4 linked regions of the Coturnix japonica genome follow. The protein of the gene in region 1 purifies or fractionates together with the protein of each later gene. This does not show direct contact. Links are inferred from orthologs where the notes say so. Each region holds a gene or a part of one and is shown on either strand. Other genes may lie near its edges.

The links.
Region 2: the proteins of MARCHF5 (region 1) and MFN2 purify together in Homo sapiens (affinity purification with mass spectrometry; 5 studies listed by BioGRID and IntAct, counting the BioPlex papers as one, with this or other methods). This does not show direct contact. The link is inferred for Coturnix japonica from reciprocal best matches to the Homo sapiens genes MARCHF5 and MFN2.
Region 3: the proteins of MARCHF5 (region 1) and DNM1L purify together in Homo sapiens (affinity purification with western blotting, with the first as the bait; 3 studies listed by BioGRID). This does not show direct contact. The link is inferred for Coturnix japonica from reciprocal best matches to the Homo sapiens genes MARCHF5 and DNM1L.
Region 4: the proteins of MARCHF5 (region 1) and MFN1 purify together in Homo sapiens (affinity purification with western blotting; 4 studies listed by BioGRID, with this or other methods). This does not show direct contact. The link is inferred for Coturnix japonica from reciprocal best matches to the Homo sapiens genes MARCHF5 and MFN1.

Annotation. Positions count from the first base shown.
Region 1 is NC_029521.1:18,089,850-18,097,811, forward strand, and holds the start of MARCHF5 (E3 ubiquitin-protein ligase MARCH5), read right to left. Parts: upstream 4,703-7,962; 5' UTR 4,604-4,702; exon of another isoform or gene 4,527-4,603; 5' UTR 4,426-4,526; coding exon 4,382-4,425; intron 2,396-4,381; exon of another isoform or gene 2,381-2,395; coding exon of another isoform or gene 2,370-2,380; intron 1-2,369. UniProt on the Homo sapiens protein: Mitochondrial E3 ubiquitin-protein ligase that plays a crucial role in the control of mitochondrial morphology by acting as a positive regulator of mitochondrial fission and as an important regulator of immune response.
Region 2 is NC_029536.1:4,787,421-4,795,354, forward strand, and holds the start of MFN2 (mitofusin-2), read right to left. Parts: upstream 5,386-7,934; 5' UTR 5,292-5,385; intron 5,129-5,291; 5' UTR 5,014-5,128; intron 4,768-5,013; 5' UTR 4,666-4,767; intron 3,988-4,665; 5' UTR 3,984-3,987; coding exon 3,809-3,983; intron 3,167-3,808; coding exon 3,031-3,166; intron 2,710-3,030; coding exon 2,547-2,709; intron 2,004-2,546; coding exon 1,879-2,003; intron 1,564-1,878; coding exon 1,455-1,563; intron 1,358-1,454; coding exon 1,250-1,357; intron 856-1,249; coding exon 702-855; intron 457-701; coding exon 389-456; intron 244-388; coding exon 122-243; intron 1-121. Other genes in the region: PLOD1 (procollagen-lysine,2-oxoglutarate 5-dioxygenase 1), read right to left, coding at 6,888-7,043, 7,271-7,396, 7,692-7,838. UniProt on the Homo sapiens protein: Mitochondrial outer membrane GTPase that mediates mitochondrial clustering and fusion. Mitochondria are highly dynamic organelles, and their morphology is determined by the equilibrium between mitochondrial fusion and fission events.
Region 3 is NC_029516.1:53,514,660-53,522,896, reverse strand, and holds the start of DNM1L (dynamin-1-like protein), read right to left. Parts: upstream 4,856-8,237; 5' UTR 4,696-4,855; coding exon 4,594-4,695; intron 1-4,593. UniProt on the Homo sapiens protein: Functions in mitochondrial and peroxisomal division.
Region 4 is NC_029524.1:15,410,155-15,417,651, forward strand, and holds the end of MFN1 (mitofusin-1), read right to left. Parts: intron 6,980-7,497; coding exon 6,750-6,979; intron 6,245-6,749; coding exon 6,089-6,244; intron 5,597-6,088; coding exon 5,400-5,596; intron 5,034-5,399; coding exon 4,899-5,033; intron 4,347-4,898; coding exon 4,277-4,346; 3' UTR 2,867-4,276; downstream 1-2,866. UniProt on the Homo sapiens protein: Mitochondrial outer membrane GTPase that mediates mitochondrial clustering and fusion. Membrane clustering requires GTPase activity. It may involve a major rearrangement of the coiled coil domains.

The sequences.
Region 1 (7,962 bases):
TAAGCTGTTAAGCCATTAAGTTTAAAACATTCAAGTCTGTACGTAAGCCTACCAAAGCAGATGTCAATATGGAAATACTATACACATGAGGGGGAAAAAAAAATAAATAAAAAAAGAGAGAAAAAGAAAAAAGAGAAAAGTCCCAAGGTTAAAACAGTTTAAAAATAACATCCTGGTGCTTTTACATAGATGGGCAAAAGGCTTTTTAAAGGTTCGCAATTAGTTTTCATTTGCCCTTGCTGATAAAACAGGGAGGCATTACTTTCAGAGCAGTCTTTGTATACTGGAAGGAAAAGTGGTCTTCAGACAGTAAGAAGAATACCACAAATCACTACCATGAAATGGAAACCAGCATTCTGAAGCCTGAATATAACCAAATTGCAAGAGCAATCTGCAGATAATCCCTCTGAAGTCAAGAGAATAAAGCTGAAAAATAAAAGAGTACATTTTAGCATTATGGCTCACATTAAGGTAAAAATAGGCAGTGACATTGCTATAAAAAGCCAGTGTGTGGATAAGCATTTAGATTTTTTTAGACTGATTGACCAGACTATCAACACAAAACATGAATTGGAAGCTATCCAATGAAATTTTATGGTAGAAGTAAAAATCTTTAAAAAGAAAAAATAAAAATTGACAGCTTCCAGGATTATTTTCAAGTTAATCAAATTAATCACTTCAAAACCAAGTGAAAGTACATGTTATTTATGCCTAAAACACAGCTATAAAACTCCATTTTATAGGCAAATGACACTGGAAAAAAATAAGAATAAGCAGAAATAAGGCTGCTCTAAAAGTAAGGCCTCCTATTTTATTACATTGGCCCATGAAGTCAAAAGCAGATGGTGGTAGTATGGCAGTAGAGGCTGAACCTTCCCACCGACATTCCATGACATGTTGTTGCTGTGTGACAGCAGCAGAGAGGGGCAGTCTGACAGAACAGCACCTCACACATGGAAGTACACACGCAGCAAAGGTGTGTCACCAGATTCCTCCATTTGTAAACAATGGCACACAGCCACCAACATTCATCAACACTCACTGAATATTTATGGAGACCAGTGGATGTGAGTTGAAAAATAGCATTTTGTAGCTGATGATTTGCTCTATGAAATAGCATTATTGTGCACGTGTTCTAATTTCTATGAAAATAAATAGGAAGCATTGCTTTCAGAGTGACCTACGTACTTAAGAGATTAAGTTACTAATCGAACCTAGTACCAAAATCTGACAAAGTTCAACAGCTTATCTTCCAACATTACCCAGAGAGAACAAAAGAGTCTGGAGCATGCACAGAGCAGCCAGAGCACCTGACAAGGGATAAACACGAAAGCTAGAACATTCAGAAGTGTTCAGCTGGAAGAACTACTGTAACACAGTGCCAAGACGGGAAGTTCATAGGACCCAACTGAAAGAAAATAAAGCCAAAACAACAACAAACCTTCCTTCTTTTTTAGCCTATTTTTAAAGTGATGTTTAAAAAGACAAAAAGGACTCAGTTCGTGATACTGGCACACCAAGCACAGTATTTTCATTGTAAAGGTTCAAGATCCTCATACTCTGAGTACAATATTTGTGTTATTCCCTCTTGCATTCATGGTGTAGCAGCCCTTCACTTCAGCAAAGTATGAAGTCCTTAGCTAGAAATTTCAAGTAAGGAATTAATTACACCGTAACAGCTTTTTATTAGAAAAGTGTCATTTATTAGAAATGTGGTCCAGACTAAAATTATGCAGGAAAAAACAACAAAAGATGAGCACAAGAAGAAAGTCACGTGGATGTACAACCTAAGAGCCAAGTAAAGAAGCCAGATATGACCTCTCACAAATACATATTGAAGAAGTTGATTTCAGGAGCTATCACCCTTGCATACATTCAGATCTACAGCAATAACTTATTCCTGATACAGGAGTACTTCACCATTCTGCGAATTCTCAGTGATACCACCTTGGTATCAGAAAAAAAACCTTTTTCCCTCCCAGTCAGCTTTATTCACTGAAAAGCTGTTTTCTGCATCATTCACTATGAGATTTCAATTTGATTTAACAGTACGTGCTCTGTGTGAAATGATAATACATTAACTCATAAGCTTTTCTATATGCACTTGTTACTGCTACCCAGGGCAATAGCTACCTGTCATTAGCATCAATGATAACAGCATGAATGAAAAGGAACTTCTGCCCTTCAGAATCCCTACAAAGGAGTCATTCACAGGTTACGTCTCCAGATGAAAGGTTTTTCTTGGTCATCACTACATACAACATAAAAGCAGTTATGTATGATCCCGAGAAACATCAGATGAAGGAACAAGACAGTTTTTTTGTAATATAACCACTCTCCATAACCCCAGTATGTAATAGACAACTTACACTGACTGCATTTTGAAGTCTTGTTTGCTCCAAGATCCTTCTACTTGTACTGTCCTGAGTCCTGAATTAAAGACAAATCCTTAATACTTGCACCTTCTCACCATCTCCATTTCCTGTCTCCCACAATGCTGTTTCTATATTCAGTCTAACAAGCTTTCATGAAAGCTGCAGTCTTTCTTCTTACCTTCTTCTATGCTTCCTAAGTACTTCAAACGTTTCCCCTATTGTCCTTGTTGCTAAGCAAGCCAGGAACACCTTCCAATTATTTTAGATTACCGACTCTTATACCAAATTTACTAGGAAGTCTTTTGAAAGGGCCAGATACACATCCTTCCAGCTTTGCGAAACTGTGGTTCGCAAGCACATTAAACATGCATCAAACCCCATATACCCATCATATCCAACTGAAGAACAGTGAACTGGTTTGGCTGCTAGTTAACCAGCTTCCTTTTTAATGAACACTCACCTAAACCTCGCATGACTTCTTTCACTACTTTCTACATACAATTTGGATTTAACAGTTTTTGCACTAACAGTAAGCTTTGCTAATATTGGGAAGACCTTCAAATCTGTTCTAGGACAGAAGAAACATGGAAGAAGAAGAAAAAAAGGACATTTAAAACATGTAACCTTAAAAGAAAACAAACTGTAAAGACATCACAAAAGATTCTAGATTCTTGTGTGTCACACTCCCAAATGCTGATACAAGCACAAAAGAAAAGCTTCAGTTTTATTAGGCAGCGTCATCTAATTACATCAATTTACTGTTTGCACCGCAAATAAATACCACCTCAGACATTTCCCACTGAATTAGAACCTCATGTTATGTTAAAATAGCTACAGACAGCAGGGCAGCCATTCAGAACATAATGATTTCTTAGGAATCCAAAATAATGAAATATTACATATCATCACCTGAAGACCACAAACTTCAGGATGAAGATGAAAATTAGTTTCAGATGTGCAACATTCTTCATGATCCTCCTCATTCTTCTTCCTTTCTACACAAGTTTTCCCATCTTCTCCTGCTCACTTGCCATCCTTCACCATTTTCCTCTCTATTGTCGACATTCACAGGAAGTAAAACAGAATACTTCCCTTGTAGTGCTTTAAAAAACAACAAACTTATCTCCTTTCTGTTACTTCTTGCAAAAACGTTTCCAATTCCTGACCCTTAGCCTCCTTAACATCACTTCCCCAGGTTTTCTAAAACATCAGAAGCTTTCCCTCTTCCTCAATCCTCCAACAACAGACTTTTAGTCATTTTCCACACTGGACTGAAGTTCCTTATCCAGGCAGTGCAAGCTCTGCCCTTGCCTCCCAGAGTTTGCCTCTCCATTACCTGCCTGACGACAGGCTGTATTTTCCCCCCTCCCCCTCCAAGTTCTTTGTGATTTAAGTGCGATACGTTTATCAGTAGAGGATAGATTCCTTATGGGTTCCGACCTTCAGAAGCAGCAGGCAGTCACACCCCCGGCACTAACAGCCCGGTTGTTGTGTCGCCTATACGTGCAGGTCTCAAGAGCTTCCTGGATGACTCAATGCGCCTCAGTGGGAATCTCAAATTCTCAGCAGAACAAGGTGAAAGTGCTTCGTGTGCAAATCAACGTAAACAGAGGAAATAAGCTTACAAAGAGCGAATGCCTTTTCTCCCCTAGAATTAAGTCAGAGGGGTTTACAGGTCGGACTTCTTAGCAGCAATTAAAAAAAAAAAAAAAAAGAAACTACAGACTCCTCCAAAGCCGACAAAACCAGTAACAAAGCCCACCAGGCCCGGCTAAATACACCTCGCCTTTCAAGGCTTTCAGGAACGCACCAAACGCTTCCCATGGCCGCGTTACATCCCGCAGCCCTCGCACACCGCGCCGTTCTCCCCGCTCCAGCCCCGCCACGCACTCCACGCTGACGTACGGCCGAGCTCAACGCGGCCCGCAGCACCCGGACATCAAAAGCCCACAGACACGCTACCGCCCCCGGCCGGCCTGAGCCTCCCGGAGCCGCTCCTCCCGTACCTGTCCATGCTCTGCGGCAGCGCCAGGCCCGTCTGCTCCGACATCGTTACGGCAGCGGAAGGCACGGGCCTAGCCGAGGCCCCGCAGCCTGACAAAGGGGCCCAGCGCGGGGGGGGCCGCGCGTCACGCAGGGAGACAGCAGGATGACAGCAGGATAACAGCAGGATAACAGCAGGATAACAGCAGGATAACAGCAGGATAACAGCAGGATAACAGCAGGATAACAGCAGGATAACAGCAGGATAACAGCAGCGCCGTGCAGCGAGGCCGCCCCCCGCCACGCGCCTCCCTCGGCGGGCGGGACGCGGCGCGCGGAGGGCGCTACGCACACACGGCGCGGCCCGAGCCGCCGCGGTGCCGAGCTGAAAGGCGGCGGGGCCTCTGTGAGGTAAAGGCCGAGCGCGACTGCGACGCCCGTCCCCGCCCTCTTCCCAGCGCGACTGCGCCCGGGAGGCGGTCGAGACGGACGGGCACGCCGGGAAGTGTAGTCCCGCCGCCTCCGGGGGCTTAAAGGTCCCGCGAGGCTCCGCTGCCCCCTCGCCCGGTTCCCTCCCTATGCCGCTTCTCGCTGCCGCCGCCTAACTGCTGCCCGGCACCGCGCGCGGGGCAGGTAGGGGCCGCGCTCGCGTGGAGGGCTCCGATGGGGGACAGTCAGCACCGCGCCCGGCCCCGCGCCCTCGGCAACGGCCGCTCCGGTCACTGAGCGGGGAGCGGCGGGAAGGGCCCTCGCGCCTCCGCTCTCGCTCACACGGAGCGGCCGTTGCGCTCCGCAGCTCCTCCCTCACGGCGGCGGCCGAGAGAACGGAGCGGCGCCGCTGCTGCGGGCGAGGAGGTGGGAGGGAGCTGCCGCCGCCCGTTCGGCAGGTGCAGGCTCTGCCCTGGGGGAAGCGAGGCCCCGCGCGGTGTTGGGGAGCTGCTGCGATCGCGGTGTGTGCTTGTAGAGGCTGCGGTGAGGGAAGTGCCCGGCACCTCTGGATGCGGCCCTTCTGAAAGGCCTGGCGGCCGCTGGTACCTTGAGTGAGCTGTGGGGCAGCTGGTGGTAGCGCTCGTAAGCATGGAGAAGTCCTTTAGGGCTTTGAAAATCCATTGTATGTTCCGAAGTCAAGACACGGTAGCACAGTATAAGAAGCTGGAATTTTAGAGTCTGAGAAGTCTTTATGGAACAAAGGGGTGGACAACACCCAAGAGTTGCTGCTGTTTGTCTCCCTAGGGCCCTCTTCCACTCCTCCATCAGCCCAAATGTGCAGGTATTGGCGCACATGGAGAGGTTCTGCATCGTGCTGTGTTCCCTGTGCAAAGAGCAGTGTTGTTCTTTGCAGAGATGCTCACTACATTTCCAGGTCCTAGGAAAGTTGGTTGGTAAAGATCAGCCTTAGGTCTTCCTTATCGAGTTTTGATGATGGTTGTGTACGTATATCTGAGAACTGCAGCTTTGCTGCATGTAACCAGTCCTCAGAATCTTGTGTAATTTGTATCTTGCTCTGTTTTTTTTTTACTTTATTTGCTGTACACAGTGGTACCTTTCTGGGCCAGCTCCACATCTGTGCACCCTCTTCGGTGCACATCAGTTCTGGCTTGAGCTGAGCAGGATTAGCCTGGTGGCTCTGTACAGCTGCAGGGATCAGGCAGGACAGGAAGGAGACTGCACAGAATGTACTTCATCCTTTGACCCTGCTGTCGTAGCTAAGGGAAAATTAGTCTGGTTTTGAGTCTTTGGTGGGAGAAAAATATAGTAAAATATGTGTTTAAAAAAAAAATAAAGTGGAGTTCTGCACCATTGTCAGATTACAGAACAAACGCATACATTGGTTATGCAGTTGGACCCAATTCTATGTACTTCATTCTGTTTTTGCTATTGCTTTGTGCCCGACCTTATTTTTCTCAGGTCTTGTTTTCCATTTATCTTTTATTATCTGGATTTAGACTTACAAGCTGTATTCTATATAGAGAATAAGGACAGAGTTGTCTGTTTGCTGATTACCAACGCTATCCTCATTAGGAGTGCTAAAGCAGTTACATTTTGGTTATTTTTTCCCATAGAAAGTATCTGCAGAAGCAAGTAGGAAGAAGGCAGCGTGCTGGCAGCCTGTCCAAGAAAATGTATTTTGAGCTTTGTCTTAGGACAGTCAAATTCAATTTTACTTGCAGTACTGAGAGGTCTTGTGCATACAGTAGGATGAGTAAAACATGTGGGTGTTGCTTCCAGGAAGAGAACCTAATACCCACTTTCCCAATTACAGCTGCTTGTGAAATATTAGAGCAGTACTGGTTACAGGGTCCATGGTTCCTAGACTTCATCTGAAATCAATGCACTGTCTGCTGGTCAAAGTAGTGATCAGAAAGACCAGCCAGATGCTTGGGGTTTATGTATTTATTCTGAAACCTTACAAACAGAAGTAAGGAAGTCTATTTTATTCCTAGGATTCTGGGATTTGTACAATTTCTGTGTTTTGTCTTGGGGCTGGGAGAATAAGCTGGTAGCCTACCATTGAGGATTAGGCTGCGAGGTTGTGATTGGCAGTAATGACAGGCAATAGTTACCCAAAGAAATGTGACTGGAATCCATCATCACCTGGTTACTATGAGGCTTGAGAGCAGCCTCTCACAGAGCAGGCTGCTTTGTGACCCTGCCAGGGAGGGATGGATGACATGAGTGGTTGAAACCTGTGCATTGGGCTGCATGGTAAACACTTGGCAGGTATGTACATCATATTTCCTTTGAAATATGCAGTATATAAAAACCTCCTAACATCCTACTAATAGCTTAAAAATCTCCAAATCTAAAACCTGTTCAGTGTCTTTTTCACCTTTCAAGGCTTAGTTAGGCAGCCTAGGGTATGGAATCTCAATTTGTCCTCTCAGAAAGAAAATGTGGTATTAAAATACATAAATAAGCAACAGTTTCTAAATTTGAGATAACTCTCCTTATTCCCTGACAGAGCAAAAGTTGTCATTCCATGCTCATCTTTTCCCTCTAACAGGACTGGATTTGCAGCTGCTCCATTCAAATGCTTTCTTTATTCTCCTTCTCCAACAGTCTCCTTCAACTCCCTCTCCCTCTCTTCTTTCACTGTTCCTTTTCTTTCTACTTTTTATTACATTGGCAGTTTCTGCTAGGAACCTCGGGCTGGCTCTTGCAGATATTTCTTTCTTTCTTTCTTTCTTTTTTTCAATTACTGCTTTCCATATAATCCCTTAATGTAGTCCTCTTTGTTCAGTCTCTCTGTTGGTTCACTGACTCATCTGGTCCTCTCTCACCTTCACCTGCTGGGAACTGCATTTGAGCCTGGAGTGGAAGTCCCTAAGGAGGACCCCTTTTTGCCAATGTGAAGTGTAGGATGAGGACTGCTACCACTTGGGATACGGCAGAACTCGTGGGTGGCAGCCATTTTGAATGAAATCAAACTGTACACTTGAAGACATGTACAAAATTAAATGAAAACTACTAAAAATAATATAAGCTTTTTGGCTATCAGACTTATGGCAGAAAGTCACATTTTAAAACATTAAATTGTTTGATAACAAACTTGCACAAATTTTGTTAAGCTTATTAAAGAAACTGATAAGCAATTAATATTAGA
Region 2 (7,934 bases), on another chromosome or scaffold:
GGATATAAGGGATGTTCCTTTCCCAGTATCTCCACATTTTTTCTTGGCATTTTAAATGCTCACACTGCTTTAATTTTCTCCCAGTTTGTCATGAAAGCACCGAGCATCAGCATCTCCTCACCGCTGTTCCTGGGCAGCAACATGCACAGAATCCATGATGAGACGAACATCCTCCGCGATCTGCTTTGCTCTCACTGTATGCTGCTCAAATTTTGTTTTCACTGCTGACTGGGAGATACATTCCTGTACACAACAGGCAGTAAAGATTAGCAGAATGTAGAAATACACTAACGCATCTGTTCTATTTCCTAAGTGTGGTACCACTCCATGTTCATAAACTCCTTTCAGGACTAAGCCTAAATAAAAGGCTACAATGTTTAACACTCACCTCAAATCTCCTCTCAAAGTTTTGAAACTCAAACATTCTCACTTGAAAACCATCTGCCAGTGCTCCACCTGAGAACAGGAAGGTAAAAAACAACCAATTAGGTTTTCAGAAACCCTAATCAGATGTTGGGCATTAGGAAATACTCCTGCTTTACCTGGAAGCCAATGCAGAAAAGTAGCCAATTCATTCTCTTTTATTTTGTCTGTTCTCTTAAGAATCTGATCATTTTAATAAACTCAGTTTTGCCTATTTCTGAGACAAGATATTCTCTTATTTTCTTCTCTAGAAGAAGGACTCTGTTAGCTTTCCTCACCTCCTTCTGGCATCCCTTGAGCCTTCTGAATCCTGGCATTCAGCACTTCTTTTGCTGACACAAAGAAGATTCGATCCCCTGCCTGCGCTCGATCCACCACACCCAGCTCATCTACCAGGAAACTGGTGCAGCGCTCCATGTGCTGCCGACGCACCTGAGGGATAAACAGGAACAGCTCTGTGTGCAGTTACAGCCACTTTAAGCTCCATCTCAAAAATCAGACCAGGCACCCAGATGCCCTCTGCTGGTCTAAGTTACTAATATGAAAGAATAAGAAAACAACCTTGCAGTCTAGAATATCTTCCAGAAGTCATCCAAGTCATCTAATTTACAAACTGCCCAGTGAAGTTCTTGGTTTCCACTTCAGAAATCTCCAGAGCCATGCTGTGACCACTAGCCTATACTCCCTCTAGTTTCCACACCACAGTAATAAAAAAACAAACTAAAACAACCATATCTAACACGTCATGATTCTACTCACAAGGACAAGAGTCAAAATGGTCTCTATAATGGATTCCAGGCAAAGAGAAGGAATTTAAGTCACAAACCTCTTCCATGTATTCTGGTTCAGAGGCAGATGCATCCCAGCGGTTATTTAAAATAAATATATTGGGTCGAGACAGACGTTCGTTCACCTTGTGAAAGAACTGTTTCTCCTGTGCAAAATGGAATACAACCTCTTAAATTAGTTTGTCAGCACATTTCAACTTTCAGCCATATTCACTGACCGCTATTAAGTGAACCTGAACATACAGTTTGCATCAATGTTGATTCGGAATTTGCCACCAGAACAAATACATCAGCATCCAGACAGAACTTGTCAATCCAACTGTCCAGCTCTGTGGTTACATCAATGCCAGGGCTAAGAACAGGAAGAGAAGAAACAATATTATTATGTGGAAAATTCAAAAATATGTTTTAAAAAGTTAGTATGAGACTTGTTTTGGCTACGCAGGGCACTATTTTCTGTGTCTGAGCCACACTGCTTTGAGGTTTCAGTTTGCAGACTGCAAACTAAAAGGACAAATCAAGGTAAACTGTGGCTGTTAACTACAGGAAAGGACTTTAGTCACTGTCACAGATTAAAACAAGGTCACATTCCTTGATGTCTGCTAAATTCGTATTTGAATACCAAGCAATCTGTGGTAAAGAGGAAAAGAAAGACAGATATTCTCACCTGTCCATGAGCACTAGGTCATCCTTCAAGAGAGAACATTTGGAATTGGGCCACATTACGCTTACTAGGCTGCCAGCATTCAGAAGCTCATCTTGATGGAGGGCATGAGCCAGCTGGTTTACTGTCTATTAATAATAATAATAAATACACACACACATATGTAGATATACATAAAAACATTTCACATACGCCAAGACAATTATCTCCCCCCTTCAAACTGGTCACAGACAATCTAGGATAAAACCCAATGTGGAATTATTATCTCCCCAAGAGTTTTTCCACACCTCGAGTTTCCCCAGCCAAAAGACAACCACCCAAAAAGAGTTTATAAGAAGAATTCCCACCAAGTACAGCTGAGGAACTATCAGGAAGGCTGTAACTTTGGTCAGTCATACAGAGCTGAGAATTTCCTGAGTCATCATTCCAATTCCCTGTCAGCACAACTACAACGTATCATCTTCCACGTATAATAAAGTCTCACGCCATAGCTTGCTTCACTCCTCCCTTCCTACATTCATTGAAAATCTGCTGTTAATCTTTGCTCCTTCAATGAATATAGTCTGGAACTATTAATCTATTCACAGTGCTTTCATTTTCTTTTTCTTGTCTCCTTCTCTGGCACTGGAGCACAGCTCTTCTCCTATATCTAATGCTGAAGGAATTTGTACCTTAACACTCTTCTTTTCCTCCGAGCCTTCAGTAAGAAGGAAAGCTTCATGACCATCAGTCCCTTCTACACGCAGGAAACAATTGGTGGTGTGCCCAATTCCTGAAGGAAGGACTTTGTCCCATAGCATGGCATTTATCACAGTGCTTTTCCCATTGCTCGTCCTGAAGCAAAATTAAAGAACAGCATAGCTGGGCTTCTGAGCTCAGAACAAGTCATCTAAACCAAAACAGCTCCAGAAGCACTAACAATTCATTTGCTACAGACAACTTAAAAAAGAACCCATTTTTTTTCTTCTAAATAGATTATGTTCTACAGTATTTGAGTCCCATTCACACAAATACTAGAACTAGGGACATGTGCCACACGTTGCATCCAGAAGCTGGAGCACTAATGCTTCTATAAATACATTTTTGGCTATGATCCTAAAGATGCAAGTTTCTTTACCCAGTAGGGAGTGTAGGCAATGTAAGCACTCGACTTACCTTCCAAAAAAAGCCACTTTCATGTGTCGCCTCGCCAGCACTTCACTAATGCCACTGACTTTTGACAAGTAGCCTTTGACTTCCAATACCTGCTCTTCTGTGGTGACAGGATCAAGCTCCACGTTCCTGTGTGTTTCTAAAAATCAAAACACATCATGTCCCTGAATCCCTGAAGCGATCTGCCTCAGTACTGGGTAAAACACCTCCCCATAATTTAACATACACAACCAAATGCTTATCTGTATCTCACAGTTCAGACAGGTCATGCTGAAGCATGCAGTTACACCCAGCAGCATTATCTACCAGTCTCTTTATCTAATAACCATTCTTTATCCTCATGACCGCCTTAAACAGAACGCATCCAATGCTTCAAACATCCCAGCACCCTTAAAAACCTTCTCTCTGCATCGTAAGCTGTAAAGCCAATTACTGTATGTGTTCCACGTCACTGGCAATGACGTGTCTAGGCAAGAATACTGAAAGGATTATATGCACACAAGCAAAAGAGCCTCAAATAGTTCATTTTAAAAACAAAACACATAGAAATAACCTTCCCCAGAAACAACGGAGCCCACTAACTAGCTTGGTTTCATACATTACCAACGTAAATCAGCTTTGAAATATGAGGCCTAAACTTCACTCAAATTCACTACAATAATTTTCAGTCCCCTCATACAAATACTGACATATAAAGAGATACGTATTTATAAATAAATGAGGGTTTTGGTGTGTTGCTTGGGAACCACGTGCAGGCAAAGCACCATTCAGCTCAGCTTACCCTCCAGGAATGAGGAGCTCTCATTGATGTATGCGGCCAGTTGCTCAAAGATGCCATTGATTTTCTTCTTTGCAGTGACAAAATGTTTGAGTGGAGAAGCATTGACCTCAGCCATGTGTCTTTTATCCTTCTTCACTGCAACTATTGACTTGGAACGAGTAAACAACAGGGACATTGCGCTATAGGGAAAAAAATCAGTAAGGAAAGGGAACTCACTGAGGCCTAACAGCCACACAACCAAGTGTCTGATATTTAATCATACAACGGTTGGGCTGGAAAGGAACTCAGAGATTACTCAGTTCCAACCCTGCCACACACAGGGTGTTCCCCACCAGCTCAGGCTGCTCAGGGCCCATCCATGGCTGTGGGCACCTTCAGGGATGGGGCTCCCACAGCTCCGGGCAGCAGCAAGAGAGACTTAAGTTTCCCATCTCTTAGTTTAAAACCACTTCCCCTTGTTCTATCACTGACTACCTGTGTAAAAAGTTCACTTCTCTCCTGTTTATAAGCTCCCTTAAAGTACTGGAATGCAGCAATGAGGTCTCCTTGGAGCCCTCTCCAGGCTGAACAAGCCCAACTCCTCCAATCTTTCTCCATAGAAGAGGTGCTGCAGCTCTCTGAGCATCCTCACAGCTGTCCTCTGGATCCCCCCCAACAGCCCCACATCCTTCCATTGCTGGAGGCCACAGGCCTGGGTGCAGAACTGCAGCTGGGGCCTCACAAAAGCAGAGAGCAGGAGGAAAATCCCTTCATCCTGCTGGCACCCATCTGCTGCAGCAGCCCAGGATGCTGTTCTGTGTGTGGGCCTTCAGTGCTGCCATCACACAGTGCTGGTTCATGTTCAGATTTTCACCTACCAGGATCCCTCTGGAGGGCATCGCTTCCTTCTGCCCTGTCAACTGCAGTGCTCAGTGTGGTGCCATCAGCAAATTGCTGATCTTGATCCCAATGTGTATGCCCTGATAGTATAAGGGTACGGTGTACACACATATATAAAATGTATATTGATAAAGGTGATGTCTCAATACAGACCCCTGGGAGACAGAAGACGCCTACTGAGAACTAGATAATACACGTTCTAAAGATCATTCCACAAGGAACGTTTCTAATTCCCACACTTAGAAGTCACTCAAATATCTAGAAAGAATAAAAACCCACCTTCCCTCCTCCCTTCCAAGGGATCACTCCCTCCCTTCCCCGCTTACTTTTAGGATGTGTTTCGCTCTCACAAGCCGGACATGGTCAACTCGAGCCCCTCCAGAACACGAACAGCGCCGTTCCACCACAGCTCCTTCCCTCACTCCGAATCCAGCCGCCTCCCTACGACAGAGGGAGGCGCAGGCCTCGAACTCGGCCCTCAGAGAACGGCGGATTCCCGCCAATAAAAAGGGCGGGAAGCGCGTTCTCCCCACAGCGCGGCCGCCACCTCAGAGCCCCGAACCCCTCACAGGAGCCGCCATCACAGCCCGCAACCAACGCTCACCTTCACGGCCGCTCCCGCAGCGCAGCCATCTTAACCCCCGGCACCACCCCTGGGTAGGCGGGCTCTGTCCCGGGGTGCTTCGGGAGCTGTAGTTCTGAGGAGCCGCCCCGTCGTGGAAGAAACACAACCACAGTGAGCGTTTGGGAATAGTTTAATGCGAATTTCCCCACCTCCCACTTGCCACGGTTGGAATCTGTGTGTGAAGCGGCTCCGCGCGGATTCCGATCATAGTATCGGGCAGAGGAAAAACACAATAAAATAAGTGTGTGTGTGGGGAAGCTAAATAAATACATACACCATGTCAATGTTTTCTCAACCGTGGGCCTGGAAAGTCTCTTCATTTGGTTACAGCACGAATTTTTACCGTTTTCAACTGTTTTTTCTCCCCTGGTGGATGCACAGCACTGAAGGAGACCCTAAAGAGCCCTCAGAGAGCAGCCCTGTGGGTCCACCCCAATCCCAATGTGAATGTACTGCCTGTGAAACAAACCAGCCTTCATACACATAATAGTGTCTAAAAGCAGAGCAGGTCTCTCACAGGCAGCAATACAACGGTTTTTCTCTGCTCCCCCTCTACCCACAGCTCAATTCTAGGCAGTTTTTTATCCCTTATTGGTTTGCCACAACCTCTGAGCACTCACCCACTCATTTCTATGAGTCTCATCCCCAGGGGGATGCTTTGGTTTGCAATCTCAAATATTAGAAATACCAAATAATGATTTCCTCTAAGTACCAGAAAATAGTTCTTCTACAGCGTTGGCTCAAACAAGCTGGATGCAAAGGGAACTACCCAAATGATCGCTAAGAAGGAGAATGAGGCCAAAGATCAGTGGGGCCTCTGGGTTGTTAACCCATCATTAGAGCTTGTAGATCTTAACAAGGATAGAGCTGAGCTGATTCAGCACTGAAGCCCTCCCTAAACTGCAGTAACAGAAGATAGGGAGGCTATTTCTTTTTTCTATGTCTTCAGACTAATCCCAGAGATAATGTATAATTAATGGGCCTTCATTGACTACCACAAAGCACCTACATTGCTATTGCTGCTGCTTTGAACTCTGTGATGTGTTTCCAAAGACTGCATAGAGGTAAGGATTCAGATGATCTTCAGGCTGTTACTACTGAGTTTCATCTGGTGTGACATGTAACCATTACGACTCTTGGAGCCAGCTCCTTGATAATGTTTGGTATAGTATCCAGAAATGATTTTCTAAGTGTCCAGTCCTGTATATGCTGTGGATATAAAAAAGAGATTCCAGCTACTTGGAGAGAAAGCTTGTGACTTGACTCCAAAGAGCTGGATTTCCAGTCCAAGAAAGCATTTCTGTAAAGCCAACCAAGCCGTGAAGCTTCAAGTAAATCGCATTTCCAAGACACAGCGGATGAAGAGCAGAATCAAAAATGAAGGCACAAAATCTCCTTCCAAATTCTACAGCAACGTTTCTAGATATGACCCGCAGTATCAGAGAGGGAGATCTTCCAACAGCGGAGTCTTATATCTTTGATCAACACCTTAGAGACTCTCTGCACTATTCCCTGTTTCCACTCAAAGTCAGCAGTGAGCAGGGCCAGGGAAAGGTCTTTCCTGTCAGCATGGCTCTAGGGGTCAATAAAAGACACTGCGATATAACGGGTTCCTTTGGTGGTTGGAAGACCTTCATGGTAGTGGGTGAGTCGTCCTGGATGCATGAGAGTCCACCCTTTCCGTGGAGCTCGAATCGAACAGTTGTAGCGCAAAAACCGGCAGCCTCCTCCCTGAGATACAGACCAAGAGACACATCAGCTTGGTTAAGTCACCTAAGGGAAAGGGTCTCTGCCTTCTTTTGGCAGCTCTTCAGAAAGTGAGAGAAAGGGTATCCGTTGTGCTCTAATGTGCTCAAAAATCCAACATAACCCAGCCATTAATCACATACTTCAGCATGAAGGAGCCAAGTATCAATAAATAAGGCTGTGCTTCATCACCAGCATGCTGGCAAACTTACCTCATAGTCTATTCCAACCCTGTTCAGAGCAATGTTAATGGTAAAGGTGGAAGCATCGTGATGGGGCATTAGAGAAGGCTGCTCGTCGGGTTTGTAGCGGACCACAAAGGCTAGTTCAAACTGAGTCTGCAGGAGAGAAGAAAAAGTAGAACGTCTGTTACAGAGCTGTAGCAGCCTGTGGTTACTGGGCTGTGATAGGGTGCAATTTTAAATTGCACCTCACTGCTAAGAAGAACCACAATAACGCAGGAAAACATTATTGGGAAACTATTTTCTGATGCATATTCAAATCACAGCTCAGCAACATCCCTCCATACCAGAGAATGCATATTGCAAGAGGATTCTAGTAGTCTTTTCACACAGCTGCAATTGTAGAAGGTGCTGAGCTGACCATGAGTTTTGTTGTCACGGTATTACCTACCTTGGTATAGTATCCTGGGTACAGTTTCTCTGTGATGGGTGCAATATATTCCAGAAGAAACTTATACCATTCTCTTTCAAAGCCGATTTGGTTCATGTGGATGTCAATAGTTGGGACGTTCTCATATCCTCCTTGTATTCTACTGTCCTGAAATTGAACCACAAAAAAAAACAACAAACATGAGGATGGGCACCTCGGACTTCACAAACAAAAAGCACTTTTTTCTGGCAATTACTAATAATA
Region 3 (8,237 bases), on another chromosome or scaffold:
CTTACTGAGAGGAAGCCGGTGAACCTCCTGGCTACCATACAAGGAAATCTTCTCCAAGACCAACACAACTGTTTTCTCTCCAGATCATGAAACACACTTGCCAAGGCTTGTTCCTTCCATCGCAGTTTCTCTTAGCTTTCCTGAAAACATGTCTTCCTTATGCTATCCCCTGAGGGCAAGATTTAGGATCCATCCATTTTAATTACAATACCGTATTACCAATCACAAGAACAGAACCCTGGCATCAGGCACACAAAACTACAGCACTATTTCACTTCAGCAGCAAAGTTTCTGGTATGCCTGGCATAAGAAAACACCTAATTAATGTCAACTTCATTTTGCTGCTTGTTTGAAACGCTCACCAGAACAGTCAGGGCATGATCTGACAGGAGGAAGGGATGGCAAAGGGGAAAACATTTATGCCTGCAAGTAAATACAGGGAATTATATCAAAACACAAAAACTCTCACAAATTAAATTAAATTAAAACAAAAAAAAGCTTGCAAAACCCACAAGCAAAACAAGTTCCCTCCAGGCAGCAGAGCCAGCACTGAACACTCTAGATCTATCCATCCCATCACAAAGGTAAGAGGGATCTAAAGACAATTGCACTGAAAACCCAAGAAATACTGATTGTTCAAAGAAATGAAGAGGAGGGAGGATGCCCATTCCTGGCTTGGGTTTGTAAATTGCCTACCCAGTTGCTTGGCACAACTTTGAGTTTGCCAACATGGATTAGGATGTGTTGCTGGATGAACCAAGTCCCTTCTCTGCAGGGAAGGGCACTGTAGTTCCGTGCAGCATAAAATAAAAACACAAAAATAAAAACGTAACAAATTGAAAGCATGCAAAATAAAAATGTAATGCTCATCCACGGGTCAATCATAGTCTTAAGGAACAGCTTGTTTGGATGGCAGCATCCAACAGACCAAACTATGTTAAGCACTATAAGATACACTTGCACACTGGAAGTCCCAAAATAGCATTTACTATTGCTCAGCCTTCACAAATGTCCACTTGAAAGGTCTTTTATAAATATCTTTGTGAATTGCAGCTGCTTATTCATGCAATTTCATCATGAAGTCTCTATTATAATCGTCACTGCAAAGCACAACTTTTTCCTTTCTAAAATAATGCTGGTGTTAGGAGAATTCCTTTGTTACAGAGCTAGCACTAAAGTTAGTACATATCTAGGTCAGTGACTTGTAGAAACCCTAAAGAGATGCCAAGAATTAAAGACCTGGAAAAAAAGAAAAAAAGAAAGAATAAGAGAAAAAAGAAATAGGGAATTCACTTCCACACATCTCTAGGCACTGATTCTGTTGATGTTTAATCTAAAAGTCACGCTCTCTTCTGTCATGTAGGTATTTCTATTATAATACCTACACCTCCTTCACAGAATCACAGAATGACCCGGGTTGGAAGGGACCTCAAGGATCATGTAGTTCCAACCCCCCTGCCTGGCAGGGCCACCAAACATACACCTTTACTAGATCAGGTTGCCCAGGGCCCCGTCCAACCTGGTCTTGAACACCTCCAAGGACGGGGCATCCACAACCTCCCTGGGCAGCCTGTTCCAGGGCCTAACCACTCTCCTAGTGAGGAGTGTCCTCCTTAACACATAAAAGGCCATAACTCAGTTTTCTTCCCTGCATCTCATTTTAGCTCAGTATTAATGTGTTTGGTTGAGGCACCTCAATACAACCTCAATATCCCTTGCCACAAAGCAAAGTATCGATATCAAAGACATCATAAGGACAATAGGGTTTGCGTAGCATTCCCAGCCTCTACACTGCTTCACATTTCAGCAACACAGCTGTAAGGTGGCAACTGAAACACTGAATCAGGAAAAACAGCACACCTACTGGGAAGGACAGCGAAACCCTAAAATAGCAATACATAGTTGGCCGTGTAAGGGTGCCCTGCAAGTCCTATCATCGGCAGTTTTCTTAGCAGATTCCATACCAGGGTACAGAGATGACTTTTACAGTCAACTATGGGGGAAAGCTTGGAGTCACACAGCACTTAACCAAAAATATCTTAAGGGACAACGCTGTTAAAAGGCAGGTTTCAAAAACACATGGAAGCCAATTCTCAGCAGCAAAACCGTCAGCCCTAAGGACATATGTGAGACATCTCCAGAAACCTGGGCTGCCATAAACTACATTGAAAGGACTAAACGAATACAATCTTAAGTATGAAATAACTGCAGAAAATAACTACAGAGTCACTGCGTCCATGAAGACAATTATATTTTTCAGGAGCTGAGACTTAAACAAAAGAACAAAATTTGGCTACAGTTTCCCATCCAATTTGCTACATATTTTCCTGAGGTAAATAAAGGCATTCAAGCTGGTCTCCTAAAAGATACAGTACCACTATACCTTACTCACAGGTCTTAACACCAAAGGGGTATTAATACAGAAGGGCAGACTACTCATTTCCACTGTCTTCTTTCCTGGCCTGACTACGGAAGTTTGAAGCTTCAGCTTAGTCAGTGTTGTTATGAGTCAGAATTCATGGTTTGTCCAGGTCTCAGGAAATCCAGGATTACCCTTTTCCCATCCCAAAAGACAACGTGCATCACTTTAACCACTGAGGGCTGCGCCCTGTTAAATTCCCATTGAAGAAGTTTGTATCACCACTCCATGGACAGCCATTGGAACTTCGGTTCCTAGTGTTGACACCGTGTCCTGTCACTGATAATGATTCAATACAGGAAACAGTCATCTCATATTGGTTCAGCAGGACCTGATAAACCTGCATATGATGTTCGTTCTGATCCTGTGTGAGAACTCATGGGACCCACCCAGCACTAAATTTGTGATATTCCAACATTGCCACCATCATTTCCAATGCAATGAAATTGATATTTAGGTCTGCACACAATTCTCTGCTTGTAATCTGCTGATCTGTGTGGATGAGCGGACTGAGACGGTCTTCATTTCATGATGTGACAGCTGTGCATGGATGTGTGGAACATGGCTTGCCCTTCACATCGCTGTCACCGCAGCTGAAATGCACCACCCACTGCCTCACTGCACTCACATCCAATGTTTGGGCTCCATAAAGGTTCAACAAGCATCAAAGAATGACAACGAGTGCCATTTTTTCTGCGGAGGAATTCAGTTCCCCACATTTGTTTCATATGCGCTTCCATATCAGACACCACTTAGTCAGCCTGCCCCTCTGCTGCCATCTGTTACACCGCAACATAATGTAATGAACAGAATATTGACGGGAAGGTTCAACCTCTACTGCCAAAGCACCTACATCCACCTCTGACACTGTAGGCCAATACAATAAACTAGGAGGCATGACTTCCAAAGTAGCCTCTGTATGCGAAAATAGTCCTATGTACTCCATGTACTTTTAAGTTAACTAAGTTAACTAAGATAAGGTCGTTACAAAAGACTTCAGCACATTGGAATGAAGCTGAAAGGCATATTTCCATGAATTTCAAGTATAAAAACATCACACCTCTGCTTTACACCCTTCTGATAGAGAAATAAAAAAACAGCATTGACAACAACAAAATCAGTTTATATTGTTAATATAATGAGATTGGAAGTTTCTACACAGCAAAGGGCTCCTGCGATCAGCAGAAACCAAGGACCTGATATAACTGACCAGTACAAAGTCTCCTCCTCAGCGCCGGTGTTGTGGATCTCTTTTATAAGGCAGCTGACACAGAGTCTCTGAACCAGCTGACTGATGGTGGTTAAGCAAAGGAAGAGCTGCCTACCCTACAACCACACCACAACTGGCTTTGAGGAAAGCCATGCCATGCTTCAGCTATAAGCTTGCAGTCGGTGCCTTCAAAGCCATGTAACGATACCCAGCTGCAGAGCATCTAGCACAATTCTCTTGATGTCAGCCTACTATTGTCAAGTAACGGCATATATTCAATAAATAAAAAGAAAGAAGGTGATGTACTAAAGCCAAGTTTTGGTTGTGTTTAATGTTTCATTTTCACTTCTCCTATGACCGCCACCGTTCTGGACTGGAAGTTATGCTGAGGAACAGCGTCCCGTTTGGACGCTGGGTCCTCCAGAAGGGTTTGGAGTCCCGTTTGGATACACCAGAAGGATCTGAAGTCCCGTTTGGATATATCAGAAGGGTCTGGAGCCCCGTTTGGATACATCAGAAGGGTCTGGAGCTGCTCGTTCAGCCCCTCAGCGTTACCAGGCTGGGACACACTGTAACGCCAAGACAGGCCGCTTTGGCTGCCAACAAAGAGGTCCTAAAGGCGGCACAACAGCTCAGCGACCCCTCAGCACAGCCGACACCCGCAGGTGCCGTCCCTCTGCTCTCCATCCCTTCAGCTCAGCGGCCCGTAGGCCGGGGGGTTGCCCCGGGGAGCGCCGCGGCCGTTAGAACCGGCGGGGGAAGGAGGGCGGTGGCACGGGCACTCCCAGCGCCAACGGGGGGGGCCGCGGGCACAGCTAAGGGCGTCCCGGCCGCCCTCGTCCCCCCGTGCCCTTGGAAACGGAGACCGCGGCTCAGCGGCCCCAGAGGAGCAGGGGACGAGCCGACATTAACCCGGGGCGGTGCGGCCCGGTCGTACCCGCCGCCTCGTCCCGCCCCGCCTCACCTGCGTGCCCACCACCACGATCTGCGGCAGCTGGATGATGTCGGCCCCCACCGTGTTGAAGACATCTTGCAGCTTGTTGATCACCGGGATCAGAGCCTCCATGGCGGCGGAGGCGGACACAGCCCGGAGGGGCTGAGGGAACAGAGAAAGCCGGGGAAGACGTCGGCGATGAATGGGCGCGACGGGCAGCGGCTCCCGTCAGCCGCCCCCTCCGCCTGCCGCCATTGGAGCCGGCCCCCGCGCACGGCGCGGCCCCCAGCGGGCAGTGCGGGCTGAGCGCCGCGGGGATCCACGGGACATGTAGTGAGGAATGGGGCCGGCCGCACTGGGCCCAAGGCCTGTGGAGATCGTCCATTCGCTTAGGTGTGCTGAAACCAATTGCTCTCAGAGCTATTAGGATCATTAACACAGAATCACAGAATGACCCGGGTTGGAAGGGACTTTCAAGGATTCATGTAGGTTCCCAATTCCCCCCTGGCCTGGCTAGGGCGCCACCAAACATGACACATTTTACTAGATTCAGGTTTGCAGGGCCCGTCCAACCCCTGGTCTTGAACACCTTCCAAGGACGGGGCATTCCACAAACCTCCCTGGGCACCTTGTTTCCAGGCCTTAAACCGACTCTTCCTAGTGAAGAGACTTCCCGTCCTAACATCAATCCTAATCTTCCCTCTTTTTAACTTTAAAACCATTTCCCTGTGTTCCTTGCTATTAGTCAGCCCTTTCGAAGAGTTTACTCCCCTCCTGGGAGTAAGTTCCCTTAGGTATTGAAAGGCTGCAATGAGGTCACCCCGCAACCTTTCTAGGCCTGAACAACCCAACTCAACTCATACAACACAGTGTATTGCATATAAATACATAAGGATGTGGAAATTAAACCTAGATCTGGATGTTTCTAAGCTACTAGTGGTTGGAAACAGGGTGACTGTCGTGCACAAGCGCTCAGTGCTTGACCTTTAGTCCATCCCAATATGGCTATTCTTAGAATTTAATCAGTGTAATATATTTCATTAAGAACACAGTGAAAATATCATTTGCCAAAATGTGTAGAGATAACTCAGCTTTCCCAGCAGAACTGTCAAAAAATACCATCAAGGACACTATACCCACATGGAGAAACACAACTTAAATGGATGAAATGAATTAATGAACAGAAGAGAAACAAGAAGAGCGGACTAAATAAGACTAAATAAGATTAGGAAACCCAAGGAAGAAAATCTTACCACATTGTCTATTTCTGGCTAAAAAGTGGGTTCTGGAAATACCTTTGCTATAAAATGTTGTGTCTATTACCAACTTACCAAAGCCAGCATTTACCTCAATCCAGAGCAACTGCACCAAAGCAATCATCATTTTGGCAAGCAGTGACCATCCTGAGCTTTAATTATCTAATTTCCTTAATAGGCTTATGTTGTACAGGGCAAGAAACTCAAAGATCTGATAAGAGACAGACTGGTTTTTACTAAAGGTTAATTAACATAAGAAAACAGGAACTGCCGCACTGAATCTGACCTGATATAAATCTACCTCAGGATGTCATTTCTGAGTACGTTAAGCACCAGGATTCCTGGGGAAATTATAAAAGTATGGTAATAAGATCTTCTGATCACAGTCCTGTGTATTAAATCTGATTTTGTCTGTAAAATCTGAAGCTGACAGATCAACGTGCCTTCTGTTTTATCGATGCTACTTGAAACCAGATTGTTCTGTTTGCATTATACCATATAATATATTTCTGTGTGCCATGGAGTAAAATTCTTGGCTGCAGCAACATCCTGCAATAGTAAATTTCATGATCTAATTACTCATATTGCAAAGAAAACCAATTTGGTGTCAGCTTTGAAATTCTTGTGTCCTAATTTCATTATAAGCTTGCTTGTTTTCGTGTCTGAAGTCAGAACAAAATTAACAGAATTTCCAATTCTCCTTCTCCACTGTGTGAATTTCTTATACTGTTTTGCATCATCAGCTGCTTCCTTTAACTCAGACAAATCGCCATCCCTGGATGTGCTTAAGAGGCGTTTGGATGTGGTGCTCAGGGATATGATTTAGCAGAGGGCTGTTAGAGTTAGAGTGCTATGGTTAGGCTGCGGTTGGACTTGATGATCTTCAAGGTCTTTTCCAACATGGGTAATTCTATGATTCTATGATTCTATAGTGACATGCAGAGAAGAGCAGACCACTCATCTGCTATTTAATGACTTCATGCCAGAAAACTACAAGCTACCATGACATTAAAGGTTATTTCCTTGCTGTCATCTTTGTCTAGAGGAAGAAATATTTGATAACCACATTTTAAAGTTTCAATTATGTAATGTAACATGTGCAGTGTGTACACCACCATACTACTTAGTACTGCACAAAAAGTAATGGCAAAATATTTTTGTAAATTATTCCTTGATAATGTCAACTTGGCAAATTCTCAATACAAAATACTACTTTTCAACATAGGTACCATCATGAGCTACACCACATTTTCACTGGCAATAAATAAGGTCCTGCATGCCATGCTCATAAAAATCTTCACCAGTGGAAGTGACCCACTGTTTCACAGCTGCTATGACAGTGTAGTTGGTAGGAAAATGTTGCCCACACAGTCCATCTTTCATTGGCCTGAACAGATGGAAGTCAGAAGGTGCCAAATCTGGACTATATGGTGGATGTTGTAGGACAGTCCAACCAAGGTTGACAGCGTGATTTTCATACTGGTATGGCACCTGGTGTTACGGTGTTGCAAGAGAAGAGCTATCTTCTTCCCCAGACTGACTCTGGAAGTTTGAGCCTTCAGCTTAGTCAGTGTTGTAATGTAGTAGTCAGAGTTGATGGTTTGTCTGAGTTCCAGGAAATCCAGAAGGATCACCCTTTTCCCATCCCAAAAGACAGCACACGTCCTTTTACCAACTGAGTAATGCATCTTGAACTTCTGTTTCCATGGGGAATCTCCATTTTGACAGCTCTCCATGAACTGTTCTGACTGGCTTATAGTGGTAACACCACCTCCTGTTATTGGCAGTGATATGATCCTGGAAACTGTCCCCTTCAGGCTCTTCGTGTTACCCTCCTGGCACAAAATTTGTGATATTCCAATGTTGCCACCATCATTTCCAATGCAATGAAGTAGATATTCAGCTCTGCACACAATTCCCTGGTCGTAATCTGCTGATCTGTGTGGATGAGCTGATTGAGACACTCTTCATTTCATGGTGTGACAGCTGTGCATGGCTGTCTGGAACATGGCTTGTCTTTCACATTGCTGTCACCACAGCTGCACTGTTCCACCCACTGCCTCACTGCTCTCACATCCACTGTTTGGGCTCCATAAACGTTCGACAGGCATCAAAGAATGACAATGGGTGCCATTTTTTCTTCAGAAGAATACACCACTTTGCATCATGTGTACTTCCATGTCAGACACCGCTTAGTCAGTCTGCCCATCTGCTGCCATCTGTCACACTGCAACAAAATGTCATGAATGGAATACTGGTGGGAAGGCTCAACCTCTACTGCTGTACCACCAACATCTGCCTCCGACACTGTGGGCCAATACAATAAAGTAGGAGGATTCACTTTCAGAGCCACCCTCATGGTATAATTCTTGATAGCACTTGCACCAGACATCTGCACAGCAAGCACCGTTACAAGAA
Region 4 (7,497 bases), on another chromosome or scaffold:
TTTGGTTCAGTTTTTAGTGGTGCACTTAACTTTTGTTTGTTTTTAACTCACAGCTGCCTTGAGCGAATGCTTCTGGAAATTTGTTACTACGGAATTTTACAAAAATATTCTTTTTCTAAACAGTTTTTTGCCATAGAAGTGCGTTTTGAACCAATTTCCTACCCAACGCTGTTGCGAAGACAGGTGCCATTTTTACATTCTGTTGTTTAAGCTGGTTTCTACTTGTGAAACTCCAGGAACAATTTTACAGATGTATATAACTTTTCTTAGAAGTTTGGGTAGACTGTCAGCGTTGTAATGGCTCTGATGCAGGTATTGCTGCAAACAGCTTCACTGGCATTGGCTGATGAGCCTGTTGGGTTCAGCTGCCAGTAAGTAATGCCAGCTGCTTGCCTGGGAGGTTTCCCAAAGCATCGTTAAAGTCTCTGCCTGTTTGTGCTGTTTGGTAACTGGTTCTTCTAGTGCTGCAGGTCCCACCGTGGCTCCTTTTGTGTTGGTGCACAAGGAAACGTGGAAGGAGCCTCAGCACAACTGTGGAAACAGTATCTGATGCTTCTTGGGGACCTGTAGAAAGCTTTGATAGATCCTGCCAAGGTGACGTTTGCTGTTTAATCACTGTCCTGTAGTATCTAAGGCTGAAGGAGAAAACCCAAAGCCTACAGACTTGATGTGATGTGCTGTTGCCATTGTATGAGGGCAAACAAGGAACTTGCACAAGATTGCTCTTCTTATTTTCATGGCTATCGCTGGTGAGCTCACTCAATAGAATGGACGTGGTTTAATGGTTAAATGCTCAAACTCCCTCTAATACGAGGAAGTTAAGAAAATGAGCCTTTGTACGTTTTACTTAAAAGACGTAATTCCCGGCTTTGCATCTCAAATAAGATGCTGCCTATGGTGCGGTGTAGGCGCAGAAACGCAGCTCGTGCCATTTCCAACTGCTCCACAGCAGCCAACAGTGCAGCAGATTGGGCAGCCCCAGCGGGTACATCTTAAGCTGTCAAAGTTGCCAAACTGCATCGTGGTCTGAGCTTCAGATCCCTTGTGCTATTACAGAAGTGCAGTAGCTAAGATTGTTGAGGCAAAGTTACTCATTCCCAGCCTCTCTTCTCAAATCCTATTGGTTATAGCTTGGAAAGTGGAACTCTGTGCTTTGCGGGGCAAGATTGATTTCATTCAGGTAGTTTTGTTTTTTATGTCAGCATTTTCCAGCGTTGATTCAATGTTGCAATACAGGATACTAATCAGGCCAGGCGAGCACCTAACCTGGGCTTGTTCTGGTGTAGATTCAGACATTATTCATTGGTGGGGATGATGATTGAGATTCTGGAAACCACAAAAGCTTCTAAATGTAAACTCACAGAGTGCTGCAGCGTTGGCCTGTTTTCATCTGTCTGCAGACCCTTTTTTCTTCCAACCATCAGCACCACCTGCCTTGCAAACTGCAGCTGCTCGGCAGTGCCTGGCAGAACGGATGGGTTGAAGCATTGACACCCATCTGTGTATGGAAGCAGAACGTGGATTCGTGGGCTGTCCCCCAGTCTCTGAGAGGGCCTGACCTGGACTTTCCAAAGCTGGATGGATGTAGCAGCTGGTCCTGGCGTGCTTACTTTGTGCATGGGTCGGAAATAGTAACTCTTCAGTTTGTGTCCCACAATGAAGTTGGCGTTACTTTAAGGTAGAATGAAACCATTGTGAAAACATTCCAAGCGTGCTTAGTTGTTCCTCTCTGAGGACACCGTCACCTCCACTAGGTTTAGTGCTGTGCTTTAAGATGTTGGTGAGAATAAGTATTGGCTAATTCAAATAGTTGGTATCAATGGTTGTGTAGCAGAATGACTGATTTTTGAGATAGCGTTTCCTGTAAAAGTAATTAAGCATGGGTTGATGGTGCACTTTGTATACAGTAACCTGGCATGCATGCTGGTAAACTACTTCCTACACTTCAGAGGCACCACAAGCCTTTTTATCCAATTGCTGGTTATGTAAAATACATGCAGAATGTTAATGCAGTGTTGTTATGGTAAATGTGTGAACAGTGTTACTAATTGATATAACTGATAACAGATTACATGTGCCTGACATCCTTATACCACACAGTATGTTTAGGTTTTAACTAATATGGACTTCGGTGGAATAGTCTTAGATATTTCAAGCCTTTGTTTTACTTACACGATGGTGCTCTTCTATTTGTGTTTTTTCTCCTTTTCCTTTGTTTCTTTTTTTTTTTTTAAAGAAAAAAATAAAAACATCTGAACACTTGTAGTACATATGACATCCAAAGGAGTCCAAAACTAAAACGCTTCTAACCATCTCCGTTTTAATTTGCCTTCAGTTTCTGGCATTTCTCATCAGCTCGGTTCCTTCTGTCACTTGTTGCTGACTACTTTGGATACCTGCGGTCATGTTACCAATTATGAAGTGATTCTGCACTGCCTTTGGATCGTGTATGTATACAGAAACAGTCTTAAAGCTTTTATTTAAGCTATTGAAGAAACCAGGGACTTGTGCCATTTGTTCTTTAACAGTGCTGTTGTAAAAAGACCTCCCTGTGAAAAGAAATCACTTGCTATGAACTCTGTTTATAGCTTTTTCTTTTTTTTTTTCCCCCACAATGGATCTTTTCTTTGTATTTGTACAGTGGCTCAGTGAAAGATGTTGCCATGAGTTGATATTGTAACCAATAAACAAGTGCTTTTAACCAGACAGTGCCACCTGTGGGTGCTCCTTTACAGCTCCACCCCGTGGCCCCTGTCACAGAATGGCTGGGGTTGGAAGGCACCTCAATGATCATCCATCTCCAACCACTGTCCTACAGTGGAAGCAAAGGGTGACTTTTCCTTGTGAAGTAACATTACCACAGGAGAAGAGAGTTATAATTTTTTAATAAATAACTGCAGAACACATGCATGTGAAGTTCCCACCTGGGTACAATCACTGTAGCAGTGCTTCAGATGCACCAACACACCCCTGTCACCTCAAACAACACCTGGGCTGTGGCTCATTTCAATATTCACAGTTGTCCTCAGACACCCCCCACTGCTGCTGCCAGCTCAGAGCTGCACAGTCACAAACCAACACTGTACACTACAGTGCAAACAAACAGCGCTGGTTATTAACAGCACTGCGCTACTATTAGCTTTTAATCTCTCTCCTTTTAGGATAGCCCTTATTTACTGGAATATAAGTAAATCCTTAACTCTGAAGTTTTGAGTATTTCATTAATCTTGTTCATACAGAGCCATAAAAATATATAAATACTCTGAAAAGGTTTTCTCTTCTAAAATAAGTTATTCTTAAAAAGTCTGGTTAGAAAAACGAAGGTGCTCAGTGATTGCAGGTGGCAGCAGCCACGCTGAGGGGCTCTGCAATGCTGGAGGTGAGCAGAGGGGAACCTGTCACAGCTCATAGGGATGGGTGCTACAGCAGAACCGAGGAGCAGGTCAGGATGTTACATGAGGAGATCCCATCAGGCAGCCTCCACCTCTCAGTGCTGGAGCCCGACACCCAAATCTTTCCCTCCAACATGCAGAAATGGGATCCAAACCACTGACTCAGCCACTCATTTGCTGCCCTTCACCTGAATGAGGCTTCCCGCTGTGCTCACAGAGACAAGTGTCCAGCTTACCAACTATTTATTGTTACTTAAGGCCATCTTGGCTGGAGACGCAGGAACCAGTGGGGAAACTACAGCCAACCGCATCCCAGGAGCGACTGCTCTACAGTTACCACCTTTTGTTTCCTTATCCAAGAACAGGAACATCTTCCCAACCCGATTCCACTTGCTTTCAGAACGCTCAGCACCTCTTGTCCACAATGCTGGGGTTCATCATTCCCTTCCTTAAAACCCCAAACAAGCACAAATGAAAGGCAGCATCCTCCTCCCCTGGCTCTTCCTGGTCAACTGAGAACGGTACAGACAGCGGTGCTAAGCACCCTCCCTGCATAAACTCCTGGATGCCAGGAAGCCAGACCTGCCCCTCCTAAGCACTAACGAAAATCAAAAGGGATTTGGGTTTTTATTCTCAAGTGCCCAATGAAATTTAGTGTTAAAGACTTTAAACCCCCAATCTGCAAAACAAACATCACACGTCTAAGCGTCCCACAGCAATTCAGTTTGGTTCACTGTCAGAGTCTAAATTAAGCTTTACAATAATTCAATGTAATCAAAATAAGGTTAAAAATATAAATCATTTTATGTGACCCCCCAGGGAGGCGTCAGCTGTAAAATGTGCTGTGTCCTACAAGGGATCACCGGGAAGCGAAGGCTGATGCTTTATTTACTCTTCTGAAGGAAATGCTTTGTAAAGCGATCTAGTTCGTTCTCAAGGTGAATGGCTTTAGTTCTGCAAAACAAACAAAAGCAGAGAATTCACTTCAGTGCAGCACCAGAAGCAAAACTTGTGTTTGGTTTCTACTCCTGAAACCCAAAGCACTGAGAAAACCAGAACTTCTGCTCCGGTCGGAGCCTGGACCTGAGTCCCTCAGCCACCCACTGCTGCGAGTTTCTGTTCCACAAACACCAGCTGCTGCTGGTGGCAAAACCAAAATGGGACTGAAATGAACGACAAGCTGACAGCTGCTCTAACACTCTCCTGCTTCTTGGGAAGGTGTCACCCCCCACTTTACCTGCGGGAGACAAACACTGTTACAAAAGCCACCACTCCAACAGAGTGAGGTAGAGATTGTCTAAGAGCATTTCAGGAGCTTTCCTCATTCTCGTGGAAGAAGCCTGCATTTAACTCTTAACCAAGGAGCTGTTTGCTTCTGAGTAAAGGAAAGAGGTGTCAGTGTCTGCCCTGTGTATACCTTGCTTTTAGGCTGCAGGTGACAGCACACATCCACTCAGGGGTCAGCAGTGCCAGCAATTGGCTGTTGGCAGCCACATGCAGACTCACCTTAGATGCTTGGAGTGGCTCTGTATGTCCTCCAGCTGATCGATTTCTTTGGAAAGACGGGCAATTTCTTCCTCCAGGTTTTTCTGGGTAACATCCACCTGCTGACAGAGCCGGGCAAAGGTAGTGGCCATTTCCCTATAGGAAAAACAAGTCTGTAACCGGAGCTTACAGAATCCCACCACAAAAACAAGACAGGATCAATCACACGGTGTTACACTGCAACCAAAGCCTCCAGCTGCCAGGGGATCACAGAACACAACGACTGTTAAAGAGTCCCGAGTCCACAACTCCAGACTCTCACCCCTGCAGAGAAGATGTCTTACCCTCCCTAAGTACCAGCTTCACACCTACAGTCCACCAACACCTATTGTTGGTACTGCAACACCTTCTCCCTGTAACAACACTACAAACATCCCTCACAACAAACAGGGCCTGCAAGAACATTCTGCTGCCTTTCCACACCCACACTGACAAAGGTTCCTTATCTTGTGTGACACTTACTGCTGCACCTGGTGGCTGCAGTTTGCGCTCGTAAGGCTGACGATCATCTGCAGCTTTTCGGTCGCATAATTCACAAACTGCTGCTTGAAGGCTCTCTCTTTTGCTTTAGTGGTCCAAGTGAGTCTCTCATAGAGATATAACAACCCGTACATACTTAAGGAGACAGAGATGAGTTTCCAGCCAACCGTTTTCCAAATCTGAAAAGGAAAACTCCTTAGTTTAAATTAGAGTTGCCCTACAGAATGCAATTAGACTATAAGGAAATCTATTTATTTCCACCTTTTGTTGCTGTTTTTGTCTTCAAGGCCCTTTTACTAGATTAGATTAACAAATATATTATTATAGAGCAATAGAGCTCTATCCAAACGAGCTGGTACCCCAATGGCTTGGAGAACATCCAGGCTACAGGAGGAGGAAGGAAAAAGCAAAGCTCCCACCAGTCCAACAACATGTAGGGCACAATCAAGTCACCCCATAGTTGAGAAACTGAACACAGAACACGCCCAGCTACACGCAGCATCATCACAGCAATTTTCTCACTACAATCCGATAACTTGTGCCCAGTGTACCACAAGTGCTCATCCATCCCAGCCATGCTAAGAAGTTACTACATGCTTCACAGTACGGAACCCCAGAAAGGAAAGAACAGCCCATCTCTGCCCTCGGTGAGTGCTGCTAATGCTACTTGCCACTCCGCCAACAACGATGATGCTCATAGAGGTCCGTGATGTCAGTGAAGCTAAACTCATTATCAAAGGAACCATGAAATCATCGGGTGATGTGTTCTCTGGAGTTGCAGCAGGAAGGCTGGCAGCAGACGGGGTGGTAGCTAAGGGACGAGGGATCTAGAAGAGTGGAATACGGCAGCCTGAGTCAAAAGCATTAGAGAACTACAGAGATTAGTTTTATTGTCAGCTATTCAGGGTTCCATTCATTTGAAGGGAACTGCTCAGCACAGACATCTGAACAACGTTCCTGGTAAGCAGTGGAGGTTCTGACAGTTCCCTGCCACACCGGGACTAAGTCAGAACGAAGGCTCTGCTCAGAGATCCAAAGGTGACAAATAAAGAAGTTCCCTGGAGTGGTCACTCCAAAGGAAAACAGAACTTAGGCAACGTCTGCAGAAAGCATGGGAAGGATGCTCGGTTCCCTTTTAACCCTGAATAGAATCCAATAAAACAACCCTTACCAAAAATATTTCACAGAGGGACCAGGAGCAAGCGGAGAAACAGCAGAAGCAAATAGGATTTAAAATAAAAACAACTGTAATTAAAAATAAATTTAAAAATTGAATATATCCTCATTAAGGCAAAACAAGGCACTTAAAAGCTCAGCCTCTGAAGCACTCACTTGTAAACTGGGATCTGCCAGTCCCAGAAGGACTCTCTGAGCATGTTTAGGACCCAAGAACCGGTTTACGAGTGAAGTCCATCCCAAGGAGAAGTGGAACACAATGTCCTCCTGAAAATCCGCACAGAGACTGTGACAGTTCAGGTCGTAGCTGAGGTCAAACTTCCTGCATGGGATCAGCAGGTGGAGCTGGTTCTGAGCACCAGAAGGCAACAATGGTTTCAGGTTTTCTAGAAACAGAACCCAATAGTGAGGATGAGTTAACACTGAAAGCCTGGCAGCACATTCCCAAGCAGAATCCTTGCAGTGCTGACCAGCTTTGAGAACTACAAGAACACAAACTGACTGTTTAAACAAACCCCTAGAACAAGAAACCCTCGAGCATTTTAGCAGCCTGGATCCTAACAGAGCAGCCCCTTCACTGCGCTGATAAAACAGCCGCACAAAAGTGACTTGTAGATAAAGCATCACTGCCCAAAAAAGGACACATTAACTTAAAGACCTCCAGCAATAGTAGAAGATAAGGATGACTACAAATCTGTTTTTCCAGCCATTTGGTGGTGCCATACAGAAAAGGCAACATTACTGAATAAGATAACAAGGCTTCATGTAATTCAATCATCTTGCTCCGAATCTTTTATTACCAGAAACAGAGCAGAGCAGAAGAAATGGATAAGAATTAACATTGCATAGGAAACACTGCTACCAAAAATAAAACCCCTGGCTACTACCAGACTCAGTCCTGAGC